3 linked regions of the Neodiprion lecontei genome follow. The protein of the gene in region 1 binds, or shares a complex with, the protein of each later gene. Links are inferred from orthologs where the notes say so. Each region holds a gene or a part of one and is shown in the gene's direction. Other genes may lie near its edges.

Region 1 (12,108 bases):
ATCACTTTATAATTATTTCACGACGTTACAGTATGTGACTTATACGTTGCTCTATGTCTGAACCCCTTCGAGAAAATTCACCCGGGACTGTAATGAAGGAGTTGCAAATAAATGTAAGACCAATTGTTTCCGTGACGATGTTGTTTCGAATAAAAATATTATCTATAAACAAGGAGTGTTTGATTATATGCGTGACTGAGGTGGTAAATGATCCGGTGACTATTGCAATTCTCACAAATGATAGATCGTGATATTTGTTCTGCTTCGGGCACTTGGCAAAGCTTCAATCTATTGTTCGAATTCTCAGCCAAGACGTAATGGTACCAGAAACCTAGAATACCCCACATCTCATTCCATATTTTTTCATTTTCGAACAAACTCACTCAAAATTTCGCGTAGCATTGGTTTGATTTACGTGTAACGTTAATCGTTCGTCAGTGTTAATACTGTCGTAGCTCCGAGGCAGTTGCCCAGTAAACCAACACGAATTGAGCATGACAAAAATGGAATTAAAACAAATCAAATGGAATTGAAAAGAATCGGCACACAGGTCTGTTGATTCTATTCAATTTGTTTTAATTCGTGGCAATTTCGTTTTTGACTAACACAATTCATTTCAATTCGTTTTGGTTTACTGGGTGAATAATGAGATATTTTCAAGTTCAAATTTGGGTTTGCATTGCGGTTATTACTGCACGACTTATTGAGAATAAACTTGCTCTGAGATTACTTATTCAAATCAATTATATTTTCGATAAAATATGAATAAAAAATTCCATACGTTAAGTAGACTTTGATAAGCATCGTCAAGAGCGTCGATGTTGTCAACTGGAATTCTCATAACACAATTATAACGAAATTCGTCGGCAGCGATAACTCCGTCGTCTGAAAGAAGAAGAAGAACATTCATTCTCATTTTTAGACTTGTACGTGTACAGAATCGATGTAATAAGTGAAAAATAAAATACATCAAGAAGGCGTGACGCGCAGTTCTCGGGTGTCGAATCTATTGCTAGTAGTTTCCTACGAAGCCTACTATCTCACTTATTTTTAGTTACTGCAGTTTATAATATATTCGTGAGTCAGCTCGTACTGTGAACGAACCGGTAAAAATGTTTTCACTCCCAAACCTGAGATATAATAAATTATTCAATACATCGGGAGGTGAAACCCTCATTTTTGCATATTGCCCTACTCTTACCGTTTAAATCGACCAGCTTGAAATGACTGTCTATGAACATTTTCATCGCTTGAGGGAAATCACGATAAGGTCTTCCCATGCAGCTTCTTTGGACCGCGACTTTGAATTCTTCTGTCGTTACTACTCCATCCTGATGAAATTAAAAATTAAAACAGTAACACATTCTCACTGCATTTATATTGACTACTGTCTGCTTTCAGGATAAATGGCTTTCTAAATTTGACCTGATGGATCAGGATTCACTAGGCTCGTGTGTAAACGGCATTGTGCCAAGAAAACATCGATGGAAAAAATAAATAACTTCTAAACATATTCGATTTTTCAATTATGTCATATTGTTTTCAATTATATACTTATGTCTGTGTATAAATTCACCGGTAGATAAATATGCAATTTAAAACCCCTTACTTGTATTTGTACAGGTATAAATATTCCAACAAAATTACCATTTTTGTCCATCAAACAAAATTCATGACTATTGACAAATATAGTAAGAACATCCATATGCTAAGAACATTCATAGAAATTCACACTTGGGCTACGTGTACATATGAGGGAATATCACTGGTAAATTATTAAATTGGATAATTTATAGAAATCATAAGAAATATGGATTCCGAACGAAACTGTATAGTTTTAACCGGAGTCATCGTAACGACCATAGTCGTGAAAATTTTGCTATCTCCCCTCTGAATTAGAAATCTGTTACCACTCGTGTGTATACAAAATTTTTCTTATCAACCGGATTTCATGCTGGTGGAAAGGGCTCTAGTTTCACCAGACAAACGACAATTGAATATTTTCACACGTAATCGATTAATATTAAGTTAGATTTACGTGAATTGACAGAGTTAAAGTGATGAATATTTGTGAAATACATACAAGAATTACCGAATTTATTTTGGAAAATAGATTTCTGAATTTTATCGCTCGAGACAGTGGTTCGTTAATTTTCAAAGTTATTACTACAGTTTGAGAGCAATCGAGTGATCATGATTTTACAGATTGGAATAAAATTTCTTGCAAATTTATATTGTTCTCCGTATCGTAAGAATTACGAACAGGTATAGTTATCAAAAACTTACTACAGGTGACACATGGATATAAAAATTTTATGTTACCATTATACGTATATGATAGTTACAACTTACGTTACCAATTACAGAACGACAGAAAGACAGCAACGTGCTTAAAATTCATGTCGATGACTTACAAATTCTACCTTATTGAAATCCGCAAGTTCAGCGATTTCTTCCCACAGCGAAAGCATGACGTGAAGATTTTCTTGATAGTGATTATAGTTGAAATCACCTTTACCCTCGACAAGGGTCATTTTTAGAGCCATACACTCGAAATCATGCTGATCCAGCACCCCGTTGTTATCTATGTCTGATTGCGGAATAAATCTTGTTAAATACGACATGTTAATACTCTTCCTCAATTCCGTAGTACGGAAATGTACGGCTACGATTATTGTTTCTCGTGTAATGTAAAAATTGTACTAACCGTAAAGGAACTTTACTATGAAGCTGACTCGATTATCCCAACTGTATGCCATATTTTATTCGATAATGAAACGCTGTAATTTTTCTCAAAGAATGCGACTAGTTATTCAACAAACAAATATATATTACAAATTCAATGCCGTTACTATTTGTACAAACCCGTGAATTTTCGAATCCAAAATATCTTTCGGGAATTAAGGTACAAATCTGCGAGCAACGTTCGTCACACCGAATTCATGAATACTGAACACAATCTGAGACCGCAGCTGGATGGTCTAAGTTTAGATATGCTTGAATATCGGTAGCGGTACTTGAAATTGGCGACGAGGGATACTGTGAGGAAAAGTTAGACGTATCCTCTGCACAGGTGGTGGATGATGGGTGGAATCGTAGCCGTTTTGTCTGGTTGTAAATTACCGATTACGTTCAACTTGTAGTTATGCGGTTGAGATCGGCTGTAAAGGCTTTTCGCGCCGCGCCGGTTGTCTGATTAATGTTTCTTCTAACATTTATATCAAATGCGAACGAGACGTCTTAACAAGACCCAAAGACGCACGTATATGTCTGTCCGCACCGCGGTTCCGGGTTAATTTATACATACCTACATTCGTACGAATTACCGTCACATTTGAACGGTACAGGCAATTGCATATGCGGAAAATTATAGGGGTTTCATGCAGTGCGTGACATAACGCGTGTAAGTGTAGGTATGTGTGGAAACATGTACGACATGCGCGTAACAGTTTTGTGATAACGCCGCAACGATAGTACGGTTTTATAGATGGTTGCTAAAGCGAAGAACGAGTTGATTGATCGATTCGATAATTTAGTTCACTAATTCGTGTCCGCGTACCAATTGACTAATTGCCTGCTACCGGTCATCGCGAAGGCGTTACACTGTTACACACCAAACTGTCTGTGGCCGGCTTTAAATAAACTTATTCTACATTCTATGTATATACTCTCGGCTTAATAAGCCGGTCGCCCATGCACGATGTATACAGCTATTGTTAGGCGTATCTAACAATAAGTATATGAGCATATTACCACAACTATACCCGTGTAAGCCAAAACAAGTTGACCGGTTCAATGATGTTTAAATATGTTTGATTGAAACAGATTGCAATAAGAGTCGAATTCAATGTAAAGGCAGGCAATAATAAGATGGGAAAGAGGCTTCAATCGGTCACTATATTATGTGGCTGCCGATCGAACTATTATTTATTCAGTCGCTCACAATCAGATGCGATGTTAAAATAATTGCAATAATGCTAAACTGTTTGATATTTGCAAATCTGTAAGTTTCGTACAATACGGTCGTTCCGACAATCCTGAAAATAGGCCGAATGTTGAGCGAGCTTTACTTAATTCACATGGCGTTGATTCGATTGAAATATTGCGCTTTACAGTAGATGTACCCGTAGCCTGGATTGTCTTAAACTAATCACTCATGGAATTGAATATTTCCATACCGCTCGAACGATGCGGGACATGAAATACTCTTCCGTCAATTTGATTTTTGATTTAACTTACACCTAGTTTTAAATTATAAATAGACCGACACATTTGCCATCCTGTATACAAAACATAAAGAAGAAAGTGGTCTCGACAGTAAGCTGGCTGAAGTGTTCTAGATCTGTCGGTTTACGTCACATTTCAAGCCTGAAGTACTGCTCTGTGATTTCTAACATCGGTTCTAGGAAATTTAACTGAAAAATGACACGTCTGAATAGTTCTCAGTACCAGGGATATATCAGATTATTTTACCAAGGGGAATCGAGACTCCTAAACAAAAAACCTCGTGGCCAATTATCATGCGTGCCAAAATCTAATTAACAATATTAATTTTACGTACGGATAATGATAATTGAGAGCAAATTCGCTAAGAAGCTATCGACAACAGCCGTATTTAAATAAAATTGATCGCGAGACCTCTGTATGTTAATACTGAATTTCATACATGTAAAAATTTGATATATGTATCAGAATGTAAGAATACAATTTACTTTTAATATGGCGTGAATTAGCGATGGTACCTGTGAATCCCTTAATTAAGGCCAAGAAAAATACACAGTATAGTTTCAACAATTGTTAATAAAAATTGAAAGTTAATTGTTGGGAATAAAAATTGTAAGTATAGCACCGAATTTTTCCGAGGGATTTGCTGTATCTCGTGATGGAATTGGCAAAACCAGCCTGTGTCGGGTAAAGCTGAAGATTCAAAAGTAATCCATTATTTCAGTGTTTACCGCTTGGCGTCGTGTCGTCACGCAGCGATAGTGTAGAATGTAATAAACATGGCGGTGCCATCAGCTTCGCTTTCAACGCGAAATAAAAAGCATTTTCTAGGGGTTCCAGCACCCTTGGGCTATGTCGCTGGTGTCGGAAGAGGGTAATTTCGATTAATACATTTTTTAATTCATAAATATTACCTTACCGGCGAGGAGAAATTGACGTCTACGATTTAGCGACGTTTTTAACCTCGCTTTTTATTTGTGTTTACAGTGCGACAGGTTTCACGACTCGTTCTGATATCGGTCCAGCTCGCGATGCCAACGATGTTTCGTAAGATTTCTCACTTTAATTGCTAATTAATTTCTGCTGATTGACATCATGTTTTAACTTCAACTCATTATTGTAATTTGTAAAAATTTTACAGTGACGATCGACACGCTCCACCTACCAAAAGAGCTAAGAAAAAGGAAGAAGAAGAAGAGGATGAAGAAGATCTCAACGATTCCAATTATGACGAATTCTCCGGGTATGGAGGGTCGCTGTTTAGCAAGGTACGGTATTGTCTGACGAGCAAAGCGCTGAAGATTCAAGTTTACCTCCTATAGTATTAGCAATTCAGTATTACTGCGAATAGATTTAATTCATATTTGTATTTCAATTTGCAGCATAAGTTCATATTACCCTAAGTAAATTGCATTTTTCTTTATATGCTAATCTACACTTGAAATATAGACCCTTTTGCCAGTTATTTTCCTAATCTGGGCACAATAGAATAACTTTATTACTTTGAACCTCAGGTGATTTCTTTTCTATCCAGGATCCTTATGACAAAGATGATGAAGAAGCAGATGCAATTTATGAAGCGATTGATAAACGCATGGATGAAAAGCGGAAAGAATATCGTGAAAAGCGCCTAAGAGAAGAACTTGAACGTTATCGCCAAGAACGGCCTAAAATCCAGCAACAGTTTTCAGATCTGAAGCGTGAACTGGTTAATGTGTCTGAGGATGAATGGAAAAATGTTCCCGAAGTTGGCGATGCGCGTAATAGAAAACAGCGGAATCCACGAGCTGAAAAGTTTACGCCTTTGCCAGATTCTGTTTTAGCAAGAAACTTGGGCGGAGACACTTCTACTAGTATAGACCCATCTAATGGACTGGCTTCCATGATGCCTGGCCTAGCCACACCTGGTATGTTGACCCCAACCGGTGACTTGGATTTGCGAAAAATTGGACAAGCTAGAAACACGCTTATGAATGTGAAACTGAATCAAGTATCAGATTCTGTTGAGGGTCAAACAGTTGTTGATCCCAAAGGTTACTTAACGGATCTACAAAGTATGATTCCTACTTACGGTGGCGACATCAAGTAAGTCTCATAAAAAATTTTTTCACCAGTTTATCCATTTAATTTACAATACAATATTGAAATTTTTTTCAGTGATATAAAAAAGGCCAGATTGCTTTTGAAATCCGTTCGTGAAACAAATCCTAATCATCCCCCGGCTTGGATAGCATCTGCCCGCTTAGAGGAAGTTACGGGTAAGGTTCAAGCAGCAAGAAATCTTATCATGAAGGGCTGTGAGGTGAATCCAACTTCTGAAGACTTGTGGTTAGAAGCGGCGAGGCTTCAACCTCCGGAGACGGCAAAGGCCGTAATTGCCCAGTCTGTACGTCACATTCCAACATCTGTTAGAATCTGGATCAAAGCAGCTGACTTGGAAACGGAAGTTAAGGCAAAGAGACGTGTTTATCGAAAAGCCTTAGAGCATATTCCGAACTCAGTACGGTTGTGGAAAGTAGCTGTTGAGTTGGAAGAACCAGAAGATGCAAGAATTTTATTGAGTCGAGCAGTTGAGTGTTGTCCAACAAGTGTCGATTTGTGGCTCGCCTTGGCCCGATTGGAAACTTACGATAACGCGAGAAAAGTTCTTAATAAAGCTAGAGAAAATATTCCAACGGATAGACAGATTTGGACGACTGCTGCTAAACTAGAAGAAGCTAATGGCAATAAGCATATGGTAGAAAAGATCATTGACAGAGCAATTAGTTCCTTGAACGTTAACGGAGTTGAAATTAACAGAGAACACTGGTTCAAAGAAGCTATGGAAGCTGAAAAAGCTGGTGCTGTCCATTGTTGTCAAGTCATTGTCAAGTCCATCATCGGGTTTGGAGTTGAGGAAGAAGATAGGAAACACACTTGGATGGAAGATGCAGAAACAGTAAGTACAGTTTATTATCTACCATTAAATATGAAAAATCCTTTGGATCAGGTGACATATTTGGTTCTGAGTAATCGATTTTCACACAGTTGAAATAAATTGTGGCAGTGGTTTTTTAGTTTTAACAAATTTTACTGAAAAGCTACTAAATAACTTTGCTTCGGAACTATTTTTAATAAATCTATACAAGTACAGTCAATTTGAACAATATAAATGCAATTATTTGCAGTGTGCACAACAAGGTGCTTTGGAATGTGCTAGAGCAGTGTATGCTTATGCTTTAGCAACTTTTCCCAGCAAAAAATCGATCTGGCTGCGTGCAGCATATTTTGAAAAGAGTTACGGAACACGGGAGTCCTTGGAAGCGCTACTCCAACGGGCTGTGGCTCATTGTCCTAAGAGCGAAGTTCTGTGGCTCATGGGTGCCAAGTCTAAATGGCTTGCTGTAAGTAATCGGTGTTATACTTCATCCTCTTACTTCAATTAAGTTTGTTACACGTATTCAGTATCAATAACGTGTAACTGTTGAAATATATATGATTATTTCTATATCAAGGGTGACGTGCCAGCGGCAAGAGGTATTTTGTCATTGGCTTTCCAAGCCAATCCAAATTCTGAAGAGATTTGGTTAGCTGCAGTCAAGCTTGAGTCAGAGAACTCCGAATATGAACGTGCCAGAAGATTGTTGGCAAAAGCTAGAGCATCAGCGCCAACTCCTAGAGTTATGATGAAAAGTGCCAAGCTTGAATGGGCTCTTAATAATCTAGAAGCTGCACTGCATCTCCTCCAGGAAGCTATAGAAACTTTTGAGGATTTTCCCAAGCTTTGGTTAATGAAGGCTCAAATAGAAGAGCAACAAGGGAATCTTGACAAAGCTCTGGAAACATATAATCAAGCTGTGAGTAAATCGTTTTTGTTATTCTTCCAGCGTGATAGTTTGAAGAGTTCGAAATGTGTAATTTTGAAACAGATCATTTCTTATATAAAATCGATTGAAGTATGTGAGAATTTACCTGGTTGTTTTGCAGATCAAAAAATGCCCCACTTCTGTGCCATTGTGGTGTTTGTTAGCTCAACTTGAACAGCGTAAAGGTCAAGTGACAAAGGCTCGTTCTGTACTTGAAAAAGCACGGCTTCGTAATCCGAAAAATGCGGAGCTTTGGCTAGAAGCTATTCGAAATGAATTGAAAGGTGGAGGGGTGCGAGACATGGCTAATACGTTGATGGCTAAAGCTCTGCAAGAATGTCCTACGTCTGGTCTGCTATGGGCTGAAGCAATCTTTATGGAAGCACGACCACAACGGAAAACGAAGAGCGTTGATGCGTTGAAAAAATGTGAACATGATCCCCATGTTCTACTGGCAGTCTCCAAGTACGTAGGAAACCCAGATTACGCAAGTTCAGCGAGATATTTCACGTTTATTCAATTTCTCCTAGTTTGGGGAGCTGTTTGTCGTTATTAATTATACATCGTATCTGTTGCAGGCTTTTTTGGTGTGAGCATAAAATATCCAAGTGCAGAGATTGGTTTAATCGCACCGTTAAGATAGATCCTGATTTAGGGGATGCTTGGGCGTATTTTTATAAATTTGAGCTTTTAAATGGCACTGAGGAACAGCAAGAGGAAGTCAAAAAGCGATGTGTAGCCGCAGAACCGCATCATGGTGAAAATTGGTGCAGAGTATCTAAAAACATTGTAAATTGGTGTTTAAATACTGACCAAATATTGACCGTAGTTTCTAAAGACTTACCGATTCCTATCTAAAACCGAGTGTCAAAATTGAAAATAATACCGTATTTATAAATATAGATTACTGTAAATGTATTATACATATATTATGTTTAGGATGGTAATATTAAACGACATTAAGTACGAATTGTTTACGTACCTTCTTGATTTAAATATCATACATAAAATGCAGCAAAAATTGAAAATTGAGCTGAAATTTGACAGCATCAAATCTCAAAATCTTGTCTATGCACAAGTTAAAATTCACCAATAGAAGCTGGGCCACATATCAGATTCTAGCTTAGCGAATAAGTTCACTAAATCTATTATAGAGCCACCATGAATAATGGGAGCTGCCTTACGTATTTACTTTATATCACTTTATATTTACTAAAAATGGCGCTTGTGGCTGATAGCGTGATTGCGCCGCGAATTAAAAATACGTGTTAACCAAATAGATGATTGAATAACGTGAGTAGAAAATTTAGGTGTCGTCGCAACGTTACATCTAACGTTATTCTCATTTATTATCTCGTAAATTCTTTACGTTTCACACTACGCGTATCATCACGGCAACTGTGATTCGAACCTAACCTATACATACTGACCAGTTTTTTAACTGTTTCAGGTGGACATCGGGCAATGTAGTATCCCGATGTAAAGATTTAAAAAACAAGTGTCACATCTCGTAATTGAACGTTTTTGTCAAAAAGTGAAAACTAATATATATTTTAAAACATGACGCATTCGCAAGTGCTGGATTTCGTTCAGCGACTTAAATCGCGGCACGAAGATGTTAGGATTAAGGCGGCACATGATTTATCTCTTTACGTCAGAACAGAGCTACGTGAAGTCTCCCAGGAGGAGATGACAAATTTTATGGACGAATTCAATCACCACATAAAAGAAATGGTCTCTGGTTCTGACATGAATGAGAAGAAGGGAGGTATACTAGCCATAGTTTGTCTAATCGGTGCTGATGGTGGTAATATAAACACTCGTACTATAAGATTTGCAAATTATCTAAGAAATCTATTGCCGTCGAACGATGTTGGAGTTATGGAATTGGCTGCAAAAACTGTTGGGAAACTCGCACTTGTCTCTGGCACCTACACAGCAGAGTATGTCGAGTTTGAAGTGAAACGTGCTTTTGAGTGGCTTGGCGGAGACAGGCATGAGGGGAAACGACATGCAGCTGTCCTTGTACTGAGAGAATTAGCCGTCTCGATGCCGACGTATTTTTTTCAACAAGTATCTCCGTTTTTTGATCTCATATTCAACGCGATACGTGATCCCAAACCGCTGATACGAGAAGCTGCTACCGAAGCTCTCAGAGCTGCTCTGGTTGTCACCGCTCAAAGAGAAACTACAAAGCAAATGCATAAACCGCAATGGTACAAAGAATGCTTTCACGAAGTTGTACAATGCTTCAATGATGCTGATGTTAAGGGGCGAGGGTCCAACAAGGATGCCGCTATTCACGGATCTTTATTAGTTTTGAACGAGTTATTGAGATGCAGTAACGCTCAGTGGGAAAGAAACTATGAGGCGTTGATGGAGAGACTTAATTGCTCTACTCAACAGATGGATGATGATATTCTGTCTCTCATTCCTCGTCTCAAAACTCCGATTGTACCAAATTGGACAGGCCCAGTTCCAAGTCGATCCAATACTCTGCAGACAATTCATCCGGTTCATGAATCTGCCGCTTGTCGCAGTCTATTACAGGAGGGCTTGGATAATATTTACGCAGATGTTATGAACCAAAAACTATCAAGAAATCCTCATATACAACACGCGCTGATGACGCTATTACCACGGCTGGTTGCTTTCAATAAAGAAAAATTTGACAAGCATCACTTGGCACAAAGTATATCGTATCTTTTGATCACTTTAAGAAGCCGCGAAAAAGATAGACATGCAGCATTTACAACTATTGGATTAATTGCTGTTGCAGTTGAGACTGGCATAGAACCTTATCTTCCGGAAATTATGGAAGTGATTAAAGCTTCTTTACCTTCAAAAGAAACGCCGAGTAAGAAACGAGGTACCACACTTGAACCGGCTGTATTTATCTGCATTACTTTGCTAGGGCATGCTGTTAAGCAAACTATAGGGCCAGATATAAAGGTTCTCTTAGAGCCAATGCTTGCCACTGGTCTGAGTCCAATTCTTACAACATCATTGCGCGAATTAGCTCATAGTATACCATCTTTGAAGCCAGATGTTTCTCAAGGATTATTGAGAATGCTGTCACAAGTACTGATGCACAAACCACTGCGACATCCCGGTGCTCCGTGGTCAGCTACAAGTCCAATTTCAGCTCCAACTGCAGAAGCTGACCTTCCTTCGACGGTGCTTGCGCTGAAAACACTTGGTACGTTTAATTTTGATGGAAATCCTTTACTCCAGTTTGTTCGGAGATGCGCTGACCATTTCTTGACATCTGAACAGTCTCAGGTCCGTTTGGAAGCTGTGAAAACATGTTCCAGGCTTTTGAGGCTAGCATTGAATCAACCAGGGCCAACGGTTACCAATACAGTTTCTACAGTGCTAGGAAAATTACTAGTCGTCGGCATCACAGACACTGATCCAGATGTGCGATTATGTGTCCTCGCGTCGCTTGATAAAAGTTTTGACATTCATCTTGCTCAAGCAGAAAGTTTGTCAGCCTTATTTATTGCGATGAATGATGAAATTTTTGAAATCAGAGAACTCGCCATCTACACAATTGGGAGATTGAGTACTATGAATCCAGCCTACGTTATGCCTTCACTTCGGAAAACGCTGATCCAATTTCTAACAGAGCTTGAACATTCTGGTATGGGACGTAACAAAGAACAGGCTTCGCGGATGCTCGATTATTTAGTAATTAGTGCTCCACGACTCATTCGACCTTACATGGAACCTATTTTGAAAGTTCTCATTCCGAAGATGAAAGAACCTGAGCCTAACCCTGGTGTTGTCTTGGCTGTACTTAAAGCGATTGGTGATTTAGCAAGTGTTAATGGTGCAGAAATGCAACAATGGATGCCGGAATTATTGTCAATACTACTGGAAATGTTGGTCGATGCCAGTTCTCCAGACAAAAGAGGTGTCGCCTTGTGGGTTCTTGGCCAGCTGGTTGGAAGTACAGGACATGTAGTCAAGCCATACACACAATATCCTTTTTTACTCGATGTTCTTATTAATTTTCTAAAAACTGAGCAATCACCAG
Region 2 (8,733 bases), on another chromosome or scaffold:
GAGACGCTAAGTCAATTCCAGGGTCCAATCCTCTGTAGGAATGAGAAGAAAATTTTGTTAACCATGTGGACAGGAAACTTTGACATTCAAACGATGATGTGCGAATGAGTAATATTTTTCCATGATCAGATAAAAATTTAATACATTGTTTGATTAATTACTTTGAACCTTACTTTAAGACACTTATAAGAAATACTTACGGTATTTCCTGGCAATCAACTTTATGCCTCGGCCAGTCAGCTACCTGGCAGGCTCTGTTGCAATAAAATTCCTGACAACGCTGGCAGCGGCCTGAAGCTGGTTTGGTACAGTATTGACACTTGCCGATCTGCTCAGCAATTCTATTTACGCCATACTGATAGAGCCCCTGAAAAAAAAATTTGTACATGCGTTTTTTTTATTCTGCTAATTTTGCAAAGATTATGCCATGAATGAATACACAAGCAATTAAGTCAAATAGGATTGTAAAATTTTTGTTTAAATTTGTAGCTCAATTCGATTTGACATGAGGTGCCCACAACAGGTTTTGGAAAATGTAACGAAAACTTTATCTGATGTAATTTGTTATTTTATTGACAGGTGAGGCTAAACAAGCTACACTATTCAAAAAGTAAAATTTTGCGATGAAAAGGTAGAGATAATGCATCGCAATTGAATCGTAAGCGATATTTCCTGTAATTCTCTCATATGCTAGACAGTACCCTTTTTGATAAGTCAGAATCGAATATTGAATATAGGTAAATATGAACTTACGGCTTCTCTTTTTTCGTAAACAGCTCTTATATGCTGGTGCACATTAGGATATCGTGGTGGCAGTTCATACCTGGTGTAGCCACGCCCCATGGTAACATATCTGGTCCCATCAGTGGATACTTTCAGCCGATCTCTGAGAAAGGTTGAAAAGTATTGATGACAGCAAAACTTTAGTGTAAAAAATAAAGAGCGCAACAAACCTTACCTAGTCCACAAATTATTTGTATGTAAAAAAGGTTCTGCATTTTCATATGGATTATAATAAGCTGGATCATTGGGAACTGGATATAAACAATCATCCTCCTCATAGTACACAGGATCAGAAACAGGATCACTAACAGCCCTGTGCACCAATGCAGCCAAATTCTTACCACGACCCATATTACAGGTACTGCAACGCAGTTATTAAAATCAAAATTTTAGTTTTGTTACACAGTTTTACTAACAGATTTGGCTATGTGAGATAAATTTTTCGAGTCAACAGTATTGAGGGATAAATTGTTCATTTCGATGAAAAGTTATCCATAACTATACCTATGCTCTACCCATTGAGAGTAATATACACAAGTTATAAATCATTTGTAGAAGTTTTTAACTGTCTTTCGATTAGATTATGTATCCTTAGATAACTCACGGCGGTGCAGCATGTCGTGGAATCTGTTCAGGACTGAGGTACTCCCTCGGCTGGTTCTCTGGATTGCACGTAAAAGGTACTGGTTTGGATTCTATTGTCCGGCGAGGGCCCATATTTCGATCGAGTCGTTCCTCACGTTTCTTTGCAAATGTTACGCGAAGTTCCAAAGGTTTGACGCCATGGACCTCTCTGATGGCCTTTTCTGCCTCACGGAAACTCGTATAGCTCACAAACGCCCAGCCAGCATTCGGAGGGGATATAACACTGGACGGTGTGCCGTAATTCGCGAAAAGATGGGATACACCATCCTAAACAATTGGTTATTACGTAACGCTATGACAATTTCACTCGTTTCGGCAATTCGTATTTACGTGTTAGTCAAAATGGGGTATTAATCCAAAAATTGTAAACGAATGGATACTTTGTCATGAAGAATGTAACATGCAGTTGAATGGAGTTGTGAAAAGAACATTGCACATGTTGAACTTTGCATACCTGGTCTAGCTCTGCTGGGATATTCGACACGTAGAGTTTATACTCCGTTTCCGGTCCTCCCCTGTAATTATAAGATGACATGACATGCGAATTGCTGCAGTATTAAGCCGGGATCACGACATGGATGTAATATTGCAAGTGGTTTAAATTTCAAACCTAGCATAAGGCGTCAGATTCATTCCAGGTCCGTGCTCGTACGAATTGACGTTGGCGTCGCGGTAATGAGCAGCCATCGGATCCCAATTGTCTAAATTATTAGCCCGTGCCATTGCGTCTTGACGGTCAACCGTCCTCGAAATCTGAAAGGACGCTAGCAATCTTATCGCTCAGTTAGTTACGTTAATCGGGTAGGTATATACTGTTGACCACGCACTTTCTTTGCTTGTCACGTCACAATTACGCAGGCTTCCGAATAAGCACGTGGTATCGCTATTCACTTCTATTTACACGGTGTTTTCTTTTATTCTGCACTCTTTTAGCTGGACCGTTAAAAGTATGAAAACGAGTCGAATAGGGCAGAGGATTCAAGAAATAGCGGCACGTGGTACGCTCGGAGAAGTGCGTCTAATATGCTAAGTGCAAAAAGCCGACCGCATGCATGAAATTCTCTCTGCGCATGTGCACCATTTTGAATTTACAAGCTTTATTGTGTCGGACAAGTTACATCCAAGTAGAACTAATCGAAATATGCGCTTACCTTCTAGCTCAACTTGAATCGTAATTTCGGTTTCGTCTACGCTGATTATAAATGTCTTCGAATTTATTTACTTGGTATATTTTGAATCTTAATGTGCACGAGAAAATGGAACGAAACTTTCTTGGATCGTTGACTAGAGTTTCGGTATTCTAGAAACGCAAATCCGCACACTGCAGTCTACGCCTCGACTGTTAGGTTTTCACGGGCAGGAAAATGCTGCCGCCAGCCGCAGTATTTTGTTGCCTAGTTCTTGACCAATAGGAATGCCAAGAAAATAGATAATTCGTCTTTCGCGTGCACAGGTAGCGCTAGAGTCCGTAAGACCGTGGTAGGGACTCTCGGTAACGCTCGCCTGCTTTATTGACATTTCTATTGGTCAAAAATTCGGCAGCAAAATACTGCGGTGGCAAATCTGTGCCAGTGAAATTCCAGCCACTGGCCTCCTGACTTCTCGTTGATGACAGCACCGTACAGTAAATTCATTTATGCCTTCCTTTTCCGACTACCTTGTTTCGGTCCAATACCAAATGCGTCACCTAGGTATATAGACTGGATAGTTGACGCTTGGATCTGTACGTTACTGAAGTCTGACTGAGGTATAGAGATCAGTGTGTATATTCGACGCCGTAAACATGGCGGATGCTGCGGCTCGGCAGCTTCAATACGAATATAAAGCGGTAATTATTACTATTTCATTACAAGAAATGTGCTAAAGTACGACTGTAATACAAAGAAAAAATTTTGTGCAACACTTATTGTTCCAGCGTCTAAGTTACGATTAAAATTTGAGAACTCTGCTTTCGTACGAAAAACGTTCCGTCGTATAGGTTATATTTCTAGTTGTATTAATTGGTTGCCAAAACATAACTTACTTGTTGTACGTGTTTTGGAAAAACACTTTGGTGATTTAAGACTTTTTGTTCCAGAACTCCAATCTTGTCTTACAAGCTGACGTACGGCTTATAGAAAGACGTAGCAGAGATGAGGCGACTGGAGAAGTTATGTCCCTTGTGGGCAAATTGGATGGAACCAGGATGGGCGATAGACATCAAAGGACGAAACCAGGCAAAGCAGAAGAGCGTAAAGTGAAGTGAGTGAAGATGTAAATTTGCATAGCACTATTCTCACATTCAGTAGCAAAGCAAATTACTAAAATGCATTAGGTATTAAAATGAAAAATTTAAATTGAATCATTAACGACTGTAATACGGTACAACTTTTCTCAGACGTCAAAAACGTGATGAAGCGCAATATGACTTCACTCGTATGAAGGGTGCCACTCTCTTGTCAGAGGGTGTTGATGAAATGGTAGGAATTGTATACAGACCCAAAACACAAGAGACTCGTCAGACGTACGAAGTGTTACTGAGTTTCATTCAGGAAGCATTGGGCGATCAACCACGTGATATTCTCTGTGGTGCTGCTGACGAAGTATTAGCTGTGTTGAAAAATGATAGATTAAAAGAAAAGGAGAAGAAAAAAGAAACAGAGTTGCTGCTTGGTGGTTTAGCAGAAGAGAGATTCGCCCTCTTGGTTAATCTGGGGAAAAAAATCACGGATTTTGGCAGTGATGAAAAGACTACAACAAATGAAGAGAACATTGATGAGACATATGGTATAAATGTTCAGTTCGAAGAAAGCAGCGAAGAGGATGATGAAGATGTGTACGGAGAGGTTAGGGAAAATGACGATGAAGGGGATGAAGGAGAAGAAGCAAACATTGATCGTGCAATTCACGCGGAAAACGTATGTATCTAGTCAGTTTAGTTGAAATATTCATCAAGTCTGAAGTTTTTTAGTCATATAAACTTTTAACAATTCTATGTAATTGCATTTTTATTCAACTCTTTTCTATTCATATGTACAATTTTAATATCAGATATTACAGTATAGTATCTTAATTTTTTACATTCAGTAACTGTTTCTTTACCCTTCAAACAGCTTGGTGGTGCGGAGGAAATGAAGAAGGAAAAACCACTTCATCCGTTAGATATCGATGCTTATTGGCTTCAGCGGAGATTGAGCAGAATATACGATGATGCAATGGTATCCCAAGCAAGAGCTGCTGAGGTATTAGCAGTGTTACGAGATGCGGGTGATGATCGAGATTGTGAAAATCAGCTGGTTCTCCTGTTAGGATATGATTGCTTTGATTTTATCAAACAGCTTAAAAAATATAGACACATGAGTGAGTATCAAGCAACACTCACCTTTATAATTACAGAGCTAATATTTATGAATCATTAAATAGTTGAAACAGAAAGATTACAATTTGAACATTCATTAAAATTTATCTAGTTTTTTGGAAGTTTAAATATTCTGACTATTCTTACAGTTGCCTATTGCACGATGTTGGCATCGTCTCAATCCGAATCGGAGAGACAAAAGATAAGAAATAAAATGAATGATGATTTGTCTCTGGCAAAGATCTTGCGTCAGCTAGACACGGGAAAGGGTGATGATGATGCTGAAGAAACAATGGAAGCACGTGCACAACGCAAGCGGCTGGAGGAGAACGAGGATGGAGCTGGTGGTCCTGGTGGTCAAGTTCAAGGATCGAGAAATCTGATTGATTTAGAGGATTTGATATTTGCTCAGGGAAGTCACTTTATGGCCAACAAACGTTGTCAGCTACCAGATGGAAGTTTCAGAAAACAAAGAAAAGGGTAATATATTTTTTATTTTAATGATGAACAAATTTTTGGTAGAAAATCGCTACTATTTGAAACTGAACAAGCTAACACTTCAAATCTCTCATCTCAGGTACGAAGAGGTCCATGTCCCAGCACTGAAACCAAAGCCATTCGGGGAGAATGAGAAACTGCACCAAGTTGATCAGCTTCCGAAATACGTACAGCCGGCGTTCGAGGGTTTCAAAACGTTGAACAGAATTCAGAGTCGGCTTCAAAATTCGGCGTTGGAAAGCGATGAGAATCTGTTGTTATGTGCGCCAACTGGAGCAGGTAAGACAAACGTCGCCCTGCTCTGTATGATGCGAGAAATCGGAAAACACATAAACGCCGACGGAACGATAAACGCTGACGAATTTAAGATAATATACGTTGCGCCAATGCGGTCGCTTGTACAAGAAATGGTAGGAAACTTTGGAAAGCGTTTGGCAAGTTACAATTTGATCGTGTCTGAACTCACGGGTGACCATCAGCTGACAAGAGAACAAATCGCGGCAACACAAGTAATAGTTTGCACACCTGAGAAATGGGATATAATAACTCGTAAAGGAGGCGAAAAAACTTTCACGTCTCTTGTCAGATTGGTGATTATCGACGAGATTCATTTACTCCACGATGAGCGAGGCCCAGTTCTCGAAGCGCTGGTTGCCAGAACCATAAGAAACATTGAAACAACCCAGGAAGATGTGCGGCTAGTCGGTTTATCGGCTACCCTTCCAAACTACCGAGATGTAGCTGCGTTTTTGCGGATAAAACCAGAAACCGGATTGTTTTACTTTGACAACAGCTACAGGCCAGTTGCTCTGGAGCAGCAGTATATTGGTGTGACTGAGAAAAAGGCACTGAAGAGATTCCAGGTGATGAACGAGATTGTGTACGAAAAAACGATGGAACATGCAGGAAGAAATCAAGTCCTAGTATTTGTTCACTCCAGAAAAGAAACTGGGAAAACTGCCAGGGCCATCAGAGACATGTGTCTTGAGAAAGACACGCTTGGTCAGTTCTTGCGTGAAGGATCTGCGTCGATGGAAGTACTCAGGACTGAAGCTGAGCAGGTTAAGAATCAGGAACTGAAAGACTTGCTTCCGTATGGTTTCGCTATTCACCACGCCGGAATGACCAGGGTCGATCGTACCTTGGTCGAGGATTTGTTCGCCGATCGACACATTCAAGTTTTAGTATCTACCGCAACTTTGGCATGGGGAGTCAACTTGCCAGCTCACACAGTAATTATCAAAGGCACGCAGGTTTACAACCCAGAGAAAGGTCGCTGGGTGGAATTGGGCGCGCTTGATGTCCTGCAGATGTTGGGGCGAGCTGGTCGTCCACAATATGATACTAAAGGTGAGGGAATACTGATAACGAACCATAGCGAGCTCCAATATTATCTCTCGCTTTTGAATCAGCAACTCCCTATTGAATCTCAGCTTATAAGCAAGATGTCAGACATGCTGAACGCGGAGATTGTGCTTGGAACAATTCAAAATATACGAGATGCTGTTACATGGCTCGGATACACTTATCTCTACATCAGGATGTTGCGGTGCCCACAACTCTACGCCATACCTCATGATAAACTTAAGGAAGACCCGTTGCTAGAGCTACACAGAGCGGATTTAATACATTCAGCTGCTCTGGGATTAGACAGAAGTGGATTGATTAAGTATGATAGAAAATCTGGACATTTTCAGGCGACCGAATTAGGTAGAATCGCGTCCCACTATTATTGTACGCACGATACCATGTCCACTTACAATCAACTCCTCAAGCGTACTTTGAGCGAGATTGAACTGTTCAGAGTGTTCTCATTATCAAGCGAATTCAAGAATATCAACGTCAGGGAAGAAGAAAAATTAGAGTTACAGAAACTGATGGAAAGAGTACCCATACCTATAAAGGAGAGTATTGAAGAGCCGAGCGCCAAGGTCAACGTTCTTCTTCAGGCTTACATATCTCAATTGAAGCTTGAGGGTTTCGCACTAATGTCTGACATGGTATACGTTACGCAGTCAGCATCCAGACTGATGAGAGCTATTTTTGAGATTGTCTTGTTCCGAGGCTGGGCTCAGCTAGCGGACAAATGTCTATCCCTCTGTAAAATGATCGATCGAAGGATGTGGCAGTCAATGTCGCCGCTTAGACAGTTCAGAAAAATGCCCGAGGAAATAGTGAAGAAGATTGAGAAGAAAAACTTCCCGTGGGAGAGGCTTTACGACCTTGGACCAAACGAAATCGGGGAACTGATCCGTGTTCCTAAACTTGGTAAAACAATTCACAAATATATTCACCAGTTTCCTAAACTGGAACTGTCAACCCACATACAGCCCATCACTAGATCCACCCTACGCGTTGAGTTGACGATAACACCGGACTTTCAATGGGATGAAAAGATCCATGGTGCCTCAGAGGCCTTCTGGATTCTTGTGGAAGACGTTGATTCGGAAGTCATACTTCACCACGAGTACTTCCTTCTCAAAGCCAAATACGCCAGCGACGAGCACCTGATCAAGTTCTTTGTTCCGGTATTCGAGCCTCTTCCTCCTCAATATTTCCTTCGGGTCGTATCGGACAGATGGATCGGTGCGGAAACTCAATTGCCGGTCAGCTTCCGTCACCTTATTCTACCGGAGAAAAATCTACCGCCTACCGAGCTCTTGGACTTACAACCGCTGCCGATAACCGCGTTGAGGAATTCCAAGTTCGAAACTGTCTACACCGACAAATTTCCCCAGTTCAATCCCATCCAGACGCAAGTATTCAACGCGGTCTACAATTCCGACGACAACGTCTTCATCGGCGCACCTACTGGCTCTGGCAAAACTACAATCGCCGAATTCGCCGTGCTGCGTTTGCTGACTCAGAATCCCGAGGGAAGGTGCGTTTACATGGTGAGCAAAGAGGCACTAGCGGAGCTTGTGTACAGCGATTGGGTAGCTAAGTTCAATCAACAGCTCGGAAGGAAGGTGGTTTTATTGACGGGAGAAACTGGCACGGACTTGAAACTCCTCGCAAAAGGTCAGGTGATAATAACGACTGCTGACAAGTGGGACGTCCTGTCAAGAAGGTGGAAGCAGAGGAAGAACGTTCAGAACATCCAGCTGTTTATCGTCGACGAGCTCCAGCTCATCGGTGGCGAAGAGGGGCCGGTTCTTGAGGTGGCCTGTTCGAGGGCGAGGTACATATCTTCACAGCTTGAAAAACCTACAAGGATAGTAGCTCTTTCAGCCTCTTTGGCCGACGCCAAAGACGCCTCGCAGTGGCTGGGCGCCCCGGCGGCCGCAACGTTCAACTTCCATCCATCGGTGAGACCGATACCCCTGGAACTCCATGTCCAAGGATTGAACATCACACACAACGCCTCCCGCCTTGCGGCGATGGCGAAGCCAGTTTACAACGCGATCCTGAGACACGCACCCCACAAACCTGCGATCGTTTTTGTACCAACGAGGAGACAGGCCAGAATG
Region 3 (7,229 bases), on another chromosome or scaffold:
GAACCAACCACTGAAATCTTTAACGCGATCCGAGGATTGAAAAATCATTTATTCAAAAGCGTTACTTATTTCGTAAGTAACGATACATTTAATAAAGTATCGTCGTGTACGAAAAGAGATACTGTATTTATGCGACATACCTATAAAGAAATACACGTAAAGTGAAACTGTGCAATTGGATGTCGAATGTAGTAAAACATATTGATTATTACTTTTATATTTTCGCGATTTCAATAGTGCTCAATGGCTAAATTAGAGAATGAAACAAATTAAAAAGAAAGCCAACAATTTGCTGAAATATTTTTATCAAGTACTAATCTGATATTAGACACATATGGATATTCAGCTTGCTGCAATAGTTTATCACACTGCATCATCAAACTATAGATAATTTTTTACTTGTGGTGAAAGAACTTGACTGAACTTAGAATGTGTTGAATTTTGGATCGGTCGTTGTGTTCGTTACACCTAATTTTGTCTGCAAATTAAAATAAATTTTGTCCGACAATCGCGTGTAGTTGCGTGATTTTCTACAATCAAATGCCTTTCAAGAAAGAGCAAAATAAATGGAAATTAGAAATTAGAAACAGGGTATTACAGTAAACTTTACGAATCAATGCCTGGTCTATCATTTTATAGGAGTCTAGACGAATCCAATCATGTTTGTTACATAGAATATAAGTGAAAGTAAATATTTTATAATCGATCTTCATCCATTGAACAAAGAACGCATAGTTCATATTTCACAAAGGCTTGTTAAAAAATTTTTTGCATATTTGATATACTAAATTGCAGTTATCAAATCGTCGCACTGTCATGGCATTAATATTTTTTCACAGAATCAATGAAGGTCTCATGTCATTATTATCTATAATAAAAGCAATTAGTTAGGCTTCCAATTAAGCTATGAATAGCTTCGCAATGTAGGGTGCATATGTAATCGGTAATCGTTATATGTACGTCTATGCGATATTGTATAATCTATTTTTATAATGTCTCGTGCAATACCTAGGGTCCCTTTAAATAGTTGTGATGTTTATCAATCCTTAAACGCTGCCTTCTTATTGTATGTATATCGGTGCTAGTGAGCTGTGCAATTTTATGGATATCTACAGATATATTAATATTGTACTCAACATAAATCAGTAGACCTTTATATTAAAAAATGACTCACAGCAAATTTACACAATTTATGATAACAATAATAACAACTTGAGTAACTAAAGTCGGATTGTTATTTTTTTTAAAATATATTTATTAATTTTATGATAACTTAATTTACTATATATAAATATACAATATCTTCCTCTGTGCATCAGTAATAATAAAGTAATTGTCAGTTAGTAAGTTCCGTGCTTAAAAACCAAATATCAAAATAATACCTAAATCTTTAGTCATACGTCTGTCGCTTCTCTCTTTCCAGGACCAGTCGGATTCGTACCAGTTATTTTATTCTTTGGCAGTTTGCCTGGCCTCAAATAAGGATTGTCTATCACATCTTGTTGGGCTAATGCCTCTCCACTTTGCTCTGTCCCATCTGCTTGTGCTTGGGCTGAAAATTGAAACATCATCAGTACAAGATTCACCATTTTTCTGACTCATTGTCTCTATAGATTATGAACAAACCTTCTTCTTTGTCTTCTACAGGCGGTGCCTTCTTCTTTTTTTGAACCGGACTCGGTTCAAACTGGAACTCTTGATCAGGCTCAAAAACTTGATCCTGTGGTAGAAGTGCTGACAAATAGCTGGGAAATTGTGGCTTGCATGCTATCACTTGAGAGAAGTTGAGAAAATCCATTAATAAATAAAACAATAATTTTAGAATATAAGATATTACTTTTGAAAATTTCCAAACTCAATTAATTCTACCACTTACAGGGAAACATGGTGTTGTCTTCGGTCAAGAACAGACTATGCGTGTCCCCTGTTTTGGCAATAAATCTTGTCAAGGCTCGTTCAATGTCCCGTTTTTGCGATGCAGCCTTTTCCCTGATAGCTTCATATTCCGTCACAGGTTGTTTATGTGTCTGAACACCATTTGTCGATAGTTACACTAATGTGCTACCAAAATGATGAGTAGTTGATGGAAGTTATGACTCACCGGCGTCCTGATGTAGGCGTGAGGATCAGGAAATGGTGGCAGATGATTAGGTATGTGCGACGGATGATTTTGCTTTACTCCAGCTTGTAAAATATTGAGCTGTTTGGCCTGTATCTGTTGTTGAAGTTGGGGCAGAACAGTCCTGTTTAGACGTTTACCATACGTCTCCATCCCTTCTAATTTGATTCCCATGTTAATTAGGGCCAGAATAACATCGGCTATCAGAGGCTCGGTCCGCCCAGACAGCTCGCAGTAATTTTTCGCCGAATCTCCGACCTCGACGATAACTACAATGTTCATAATTACGGGTAAGCATTCTTTTTTAGTTTATAGGGTAAACTCGTTTAACAGCGTTCAAGAAGTCTTAAATTCACTTACAAGCCTGCAACATTTCGGTGAGGGTTTCCAGCGCCTGTCTTTCACACGTTTCGAAACCATTTTCGACCAAAATACTGCAAACTACATGATTTAACACTTTTCTTCTCGTGTTTACTGTTTGGGTCTCCATTTTTAATACAACTGGCTATTACTGTTTGGTCTTGTTTCCATCGAAGGGTTGGAGTCGGGTTAGGTTCAAATTATGAGCCAATGAGAAACGAGGTTTCAGGAGAAATTACTTTCTTCCTCTCAAATCTCGTTTCTCGTTTGGCTGTAATTTTAACCTAACCTGACTCTGACCTTACCACAAATGGTATTACATGCTTCGTGGACCTTACGATGGAAGCATCCTATAGTGTAAGAAAATAAAGCGTGTTCCACCGGTGGACGCTATTTCGTCCCGTTCTGCGCCGACCATAGAAGCCTTCTTGAAATTATATGACGTATCTTATAAGTACAGTGGAGATTCCTACTTGTTAAATTGTACGCTATATAGATGGTATTGAATGGGATCAATTGAAAATCCAAGATGGCCTTCATACGGTTGGTTCTTAATACGACTTGTTCGTGGAGATGGCTGCGCAGTAACACACCTTAGATGTTCAAATTTGTAAAAGCGTCTCACGTCGCTTTACGTTGTTCGTAATCTCATCGTTGGACAGTGTGAGCATCAAACTGCCCCGATTTTTCAATTAAAATTCAACACATCTATTAAAAATGAGCAAAGCACATCCCCCAGAATTGAAAAAGTAAGTGATAAACTTGCGTGTCAAACCGACGCCGAATAACCGCAGTTCTTTGCCAAGAATTTTTAGGTTACGTTGCTAAATTTAAGGTTAGACTTCACCTACCGGTACATTTATTGCCCATATATACTAATTTTTCATTATATTTTTCAGATACATGGACAAAAAGTTATCCCGTAAGTTCAGAGGATTAAATTAGTATCAAATAATATTGACTTGGTTTGGGATATTCATTTATTTTTTCAACGTTCATTGAACCTAGCTTTGGAAGGTTATAAATATTTGATATTGCCAAATATCATGTTGCGCACGAAACCCTCTTCTAGAAAATTGAGAGGAATGGTATTTGATGTATTTTATTAACGATACTTTCAATTGGCAGTAAAACTGAATGGCGGGAGACACGTGATTGGCATCCTGCGAGGATTTGATCCGTTCATGAACATGGTCATTGACGAAACAGTCGAAGAATGCAAAGACGGAACGAAGAATAACATTGGAATGGTGGTAAGAATTTAAAAAATCTAAAGCAATTGCTTGAGGAAAGATGCAAATCATTTTTTATATCCGCACGAAGTATTGACGACAATATCATTTTTGTTATTTCAGGTCATTCGAGGAAACAGTGTCATAATGCTAGAGGCGTTGGATAGAATATAATTATTAAAAAGAATCGGATGGAAGAATGTATTTAAGAGAAAAAGAAAGAATAAAAACATTTTGTATTTGTAACGCCGTATTTAACATTTAATTTTTCACTTATTTTACAGTGTACACATAGTTGTAAATGATTGAATGATAAGTTAGGAGTGACAATAATTTTGGAGAAAAATCATGAAGACTAAAAGAATTCAAACGTTTATGTTCAAATACAAGTATAAAATAAAACAAAAAAAACAGGATTCCAAGCAGCACAATTTTCTCACATTTCTTAGCTCGGAACAACGAGAAAGTGAACATTCAATACAGCTAAGCTGATTATTAAATATATTGTGCACAAAATATAATCTGGAAAAAAATGGTGCAATGGCATATAATTAATTATGGTAGGCATTTCGCTGTTACATGTATAACTGGATTTTATAAAAATACGAAAATATCGTACAAGGGGTTAGTTTGCCAATTTGAGATTCGTACTGCACAGTACAGAGACATACTGGATTAAATCAATTATTCTTATAATGAGTTATTCAGGTGAAGTGAATAAAAAAAAAATTATACAAATTCTATTTTAAAAATGTCAAAATACATTTGCTATGTTCATAAAATCAATCTTTTTACTGATGTTTTTATTAGACTGAATAATTCCGATTTAATGAAACCGTTTTGGAACTAAAATTTTAATAATACTATCTGCGATGAGCTGAGGATTTTTGCTGTCGTAAGTGCTCATCAGTCTTCGAAGCAGGAACAAAGGTCTGACTTACAAGAATAATAATAGGTATAATCATAAAAATAAATGCGTGCATACTTTATACATTGTATATAAAATAAAGAAGCAAATATAGCTTCCTTTGTCAGAAATACCATAAAATCTTACCCTCACATAGTTTTTAATTAAAATTTGACAATAGTGTGCAGAATACTCGGTAAATACCTTAATTTTTTTTCCTCTTATCTTAAAATTTTACATTTGCAATTATATGAATTCGTTTGAGGATATCCTTGTTTAAGATAATATAGAATCATTCTACACACACCTTATTACTTTCGTAATGTGCGGTAAGCAGTCAAAAAAAAAAAGAAAGGGGAGTACAAAGAAAAGTTTCAATGCAATGCAGAAAATTATATTAGCTAAAGTAATAACTTAGTGTATAATGGCCTACTTATTAGCAACGAAATATAACGAGAGAACTACAGAAAACATACAAATCAATAATGATTTTTTTTCATAAGAATCCAGTGTACCCCTCATCCTTCTGAATTCAGCAAATGTGGTTATCAAGTGTTCTTTTGTTTGAAAATTGTCGGTTACACTTACGGCACTTAATTAATTCAACACAATTATTGTGCATGTGCAATCTGTACTCGCGATTAGTGTGAAATTTCTTGCCGCATCTAACGCACGTTATGAAATTTTGCGGACTCAGATTCATGTGAATACGGAGTTTTCCATCATTTTTAAATACTTTCAGGCAGATCTCACACTGGAATGGTCTCAGCGGTCCAGTTGTTGAATTTTTCAGGCAAGCTGCAGGAGGGCAAATTATCGTTAGATCATTGCTGTTCAAATTCACTCAACTGCTTTTTTCTATAATCAAACAAAGGTACGATTTTTTGAGTTTTTTTTTAAATTTTCTTTTTAAATTTTCTTCTATACATTTAAACTCTGTATTCTACACAATTCACTCGTTATGATACTTACACGACTGTTTGCAGGAACTTTTGCCACAGCTATTGCCATGTTTATCATAATCAGTCTGGCTGTGAAACAAGCTCTTGCATGCGAGGCATTCCACAGTTTCTTTGGGTTCATTAGCTACATGATCATCAAGCAGTGTGGAGCTATCGAAATTTTCTTTGCAAATGGTACATTGAAAATTAGAGTTCGATCTCCTAGTGCTCCTCCTGACAACGATAGGCTTAGTTTCAGTTTCCTTCAAATTGCATACATTCTGGTTTCCCTCTGCATTGTGCACACCGTTTCCTTTAGACTTCGTATGGGCAGGTTTATTTGCAATCTGTTTTTTCCTCTTGTTTGAATCTGAACCATTACGACTACTCTGAAACTTCGTAGTTTCATTCACAGCTGCTGCCTCCTCTATGAGCTCCTCTTTAATTCTCATCAGGATTCCATTTGCCATTGACTCACAATCTGACACCTCAATTTCGGACGATTCATTTCCATTCACTGCCTGTTCCTGTCCTTGCAGAATTTCATGCAATGCTTCTTTTTCCGTCATCTGATGACACGACACCAAGTGTGCCTGAAGATCTGCCTTTACAAGATGAATATGGCAGTATGGGCAGTCCGTAGAGTTGTGTCGCTTTCGTTGATGCGTTTTAAGGTCAGTGCTCGATCTGTAAGACAGATCACACTCTGTACAGTGGAAGGGTCTTTCACCGGTGTGGGACCGAATGTGAATCTCAAGTGCCGATTTGCATATAGATATCTGTCCACAAATCTCGCATCTGCATTCGCCATCATTGTGCTCATTGAGCATATGTTTTTTCATATCGTATCTATTGCTAAATGGTTTTTCACACGTTTTGCAAGTGAATAACATTTCTCCCGTGTGCCCAGCTACGTGCATTTTGAAATACCAATCTGTGCTGAAACCCTTGAAACAATAAGGACATTTGAAAACCTTTGAATTTTTCTCCTCAGATTTCCTACGAGCTTGAGATTTCCTTCTTGTGTTCGTCGCACTTTTTGCTGTCTGTGAATTCTGCTGCTCTACATTCTCTGTTTCATTATTTTGTGCAACAGACCTTGGCGGGCTAGGAGCTATCGGAGCTGGCTGAATGGCCTGCAGTTTTGAGACAGGTACAGGTTTGGGAAGATTGTCCGGTACCAAGCAAAACGCAGGAATACCGTGAGTTTGATGCCGAAGCGAAGGGGCTGACTTCAGGCTGGTGATAGGGACGACTCTGATGGGGGTCAGGTAAGGTTTGAGAGCTGTATTTTGGCTCGAGGTTACGATATTTGCCTGAGAAGCGAACCAATCATTGAGAGACATCGGCTGAACGATGTTGGATTGCGTGACCGAGGAAACTTTAATGTACTGTTGACCAAGCCTTGCGTGTTGAGGTGGAGTGCAAAACACATTTGTTATCTTGGGTTGCTTCACGGCGGGTCCTTCGTTGGTCTCAGAACCCGGTCTTTTGCCGACGATTGTATTCTGTGGTGGGAAAACAATCGGAATAGAGGGCAAAAGTTTTCCAAAGACTTCTCGGGAGTTAGTACTTTGTACAACGCTCGGCTGGTTGCCCGGGGACAGTGTTTTTATTGTGACAATTGGCTGATGCTGGGGAATGGTTTTTGGGATGATGATCAGCTCCTT

What was found. Proteins that work in one complex are often made in the same cells at the same time.
Region 2: pre-mRNA-processing factor 6 (region 1) and putative U5 small nuclear ribonucleoprotein 200 kDa helicase share a complex: the UniProt entries of both Homo sapiens proteins name them as parts of the U4/U6-U5 tri-snRNP complex. The link is inferred for Neodiprion lecontei from reciprocal best matches to the Homo sapiens genes PRPF6 and SNRNP200.
Region 3: pre-mRNA-processing factor 6 (region 1) and probable small nuclear ribonucleoprotein G share a complex: the UniProt entries of both Homo sapiens proteins name them as parts of the U4/U6-U5 tri-snRNP complex. The link is inferred for Neodiprion lecontei from reciprocal best matches to the Homo sapiens genes PRPF6 and SNRPG.

The regions. Positions count from the first base shown.
Region 1 is NC_060260.1:29,831,061-29,843,168, forward strand, and holds pre-mRNA-processing factor 6, read left to right. Parts: upstream 1-4,951; 5' UTR 4,952-5,003; coding exon 5,004-5,098; intron 5,099-5,211; coding exon 5,212-5,271; intron 5,272-5,365; coding exon 5,366-5,492; intron 5,493-5,758; coding exon 5,759-6,309; intron 6,310-6,381; coding exon 6,382-7,162; intron 7,163-7,391; coding exon 7,392-7,607; intron 7,608-7,718; coding exon 7,719-8,060; intron 8,061-8,190; coding exon 8,191-8,534; intron 8,535-8,647; coding exon 8,648-8,927; 3' UTR 8,928-9,071; downstream 9,072-12,108. Other genes in the region: sarcoplasmic calcium-binding protein 1, read right to left, coding at 782-885, 1,202-1,331, 2,415-2,590, 2,708-2,759; serine/threonine-protein kinase mTOR, read left to right, coding at 9,630-12,108. UniProt on the Homo sapiens protein: Involved in pre-mRNA splicing as component of the U4/U6-U5 tri-snRNP complex, one of the building blocks of the spliceosome.
Region 2 is NC_060265.1:26,202,821-26,211,553, forward strand, and holds the start of putative U5 small nuclear ribonucleoprotein 200 kDa helicase, read left to right. Parts: upstream 1-2,961; 5' UTR 2,962-3,211; coding exon 3,212-3,256; intron 3,257-3,505; coding exon 3,506-3,669; intron 3,670-3,805; coding exon 3,806-4,325; intron 4,326-4,520; coding exon 4,521-4,767; intron 4,768-4,914; coding exon 4,915-5,245; intron 5,246-5,342; coding exon 5,343-8,733. Other genes in the region: uncharacterized protein LOC107219073, read right to left, coding at 1-32, 201-367, 754-886, 959-1,144, 1,388-1,695, 1,883-1,943, 2,039-2,151. UniProt on the Homo sapiens protein: Catalyzes the ATP-dependent unwinding of U4/U6 RNA duplices, an essential step in the assembly of a catalytically active spliceosome. Plays a role in pre-mRNA splicing as a core component of precatalytic, catalytic and postcatalytic spliceosomal complexes.
Region 3 is NC_060262.1:2,039,164-2,046,392, reverse strand, and holds probable small nuclear ribonucleoprotein G, read left to right. Parts: upstream 1-2,995; 5' UTR 2,996-3,196; coding exon 3,197-3,228; intron 3,229-3,378; coding exon 3,379-3,401; intron 3,402-3,607; coding exon 3,608-3,732; intron 3,733-3,834; coding exon 3,835-3,885; 3' UTR 3,886-3,957; downstream 3,958-7,229. Other genes in the region: transcription initiation factor TFIID subunit 8, read right to left, coding at 1,395-1,552, 1,627-1,773, 1,877-2,027, 2,102-2,388, 2,480-2,609; zinc finger protein 60, read right to left, coding at 5,151-5,416, 5,591-7,229. UniProt on the Homo sapiens protein: Plays a role in pre-mRNA splicing as a core component of the spliceosomal U1, U2, U4 and U5 small nuclear ribonucleoproteins (snRNPs), the building blocks of the spliceosome.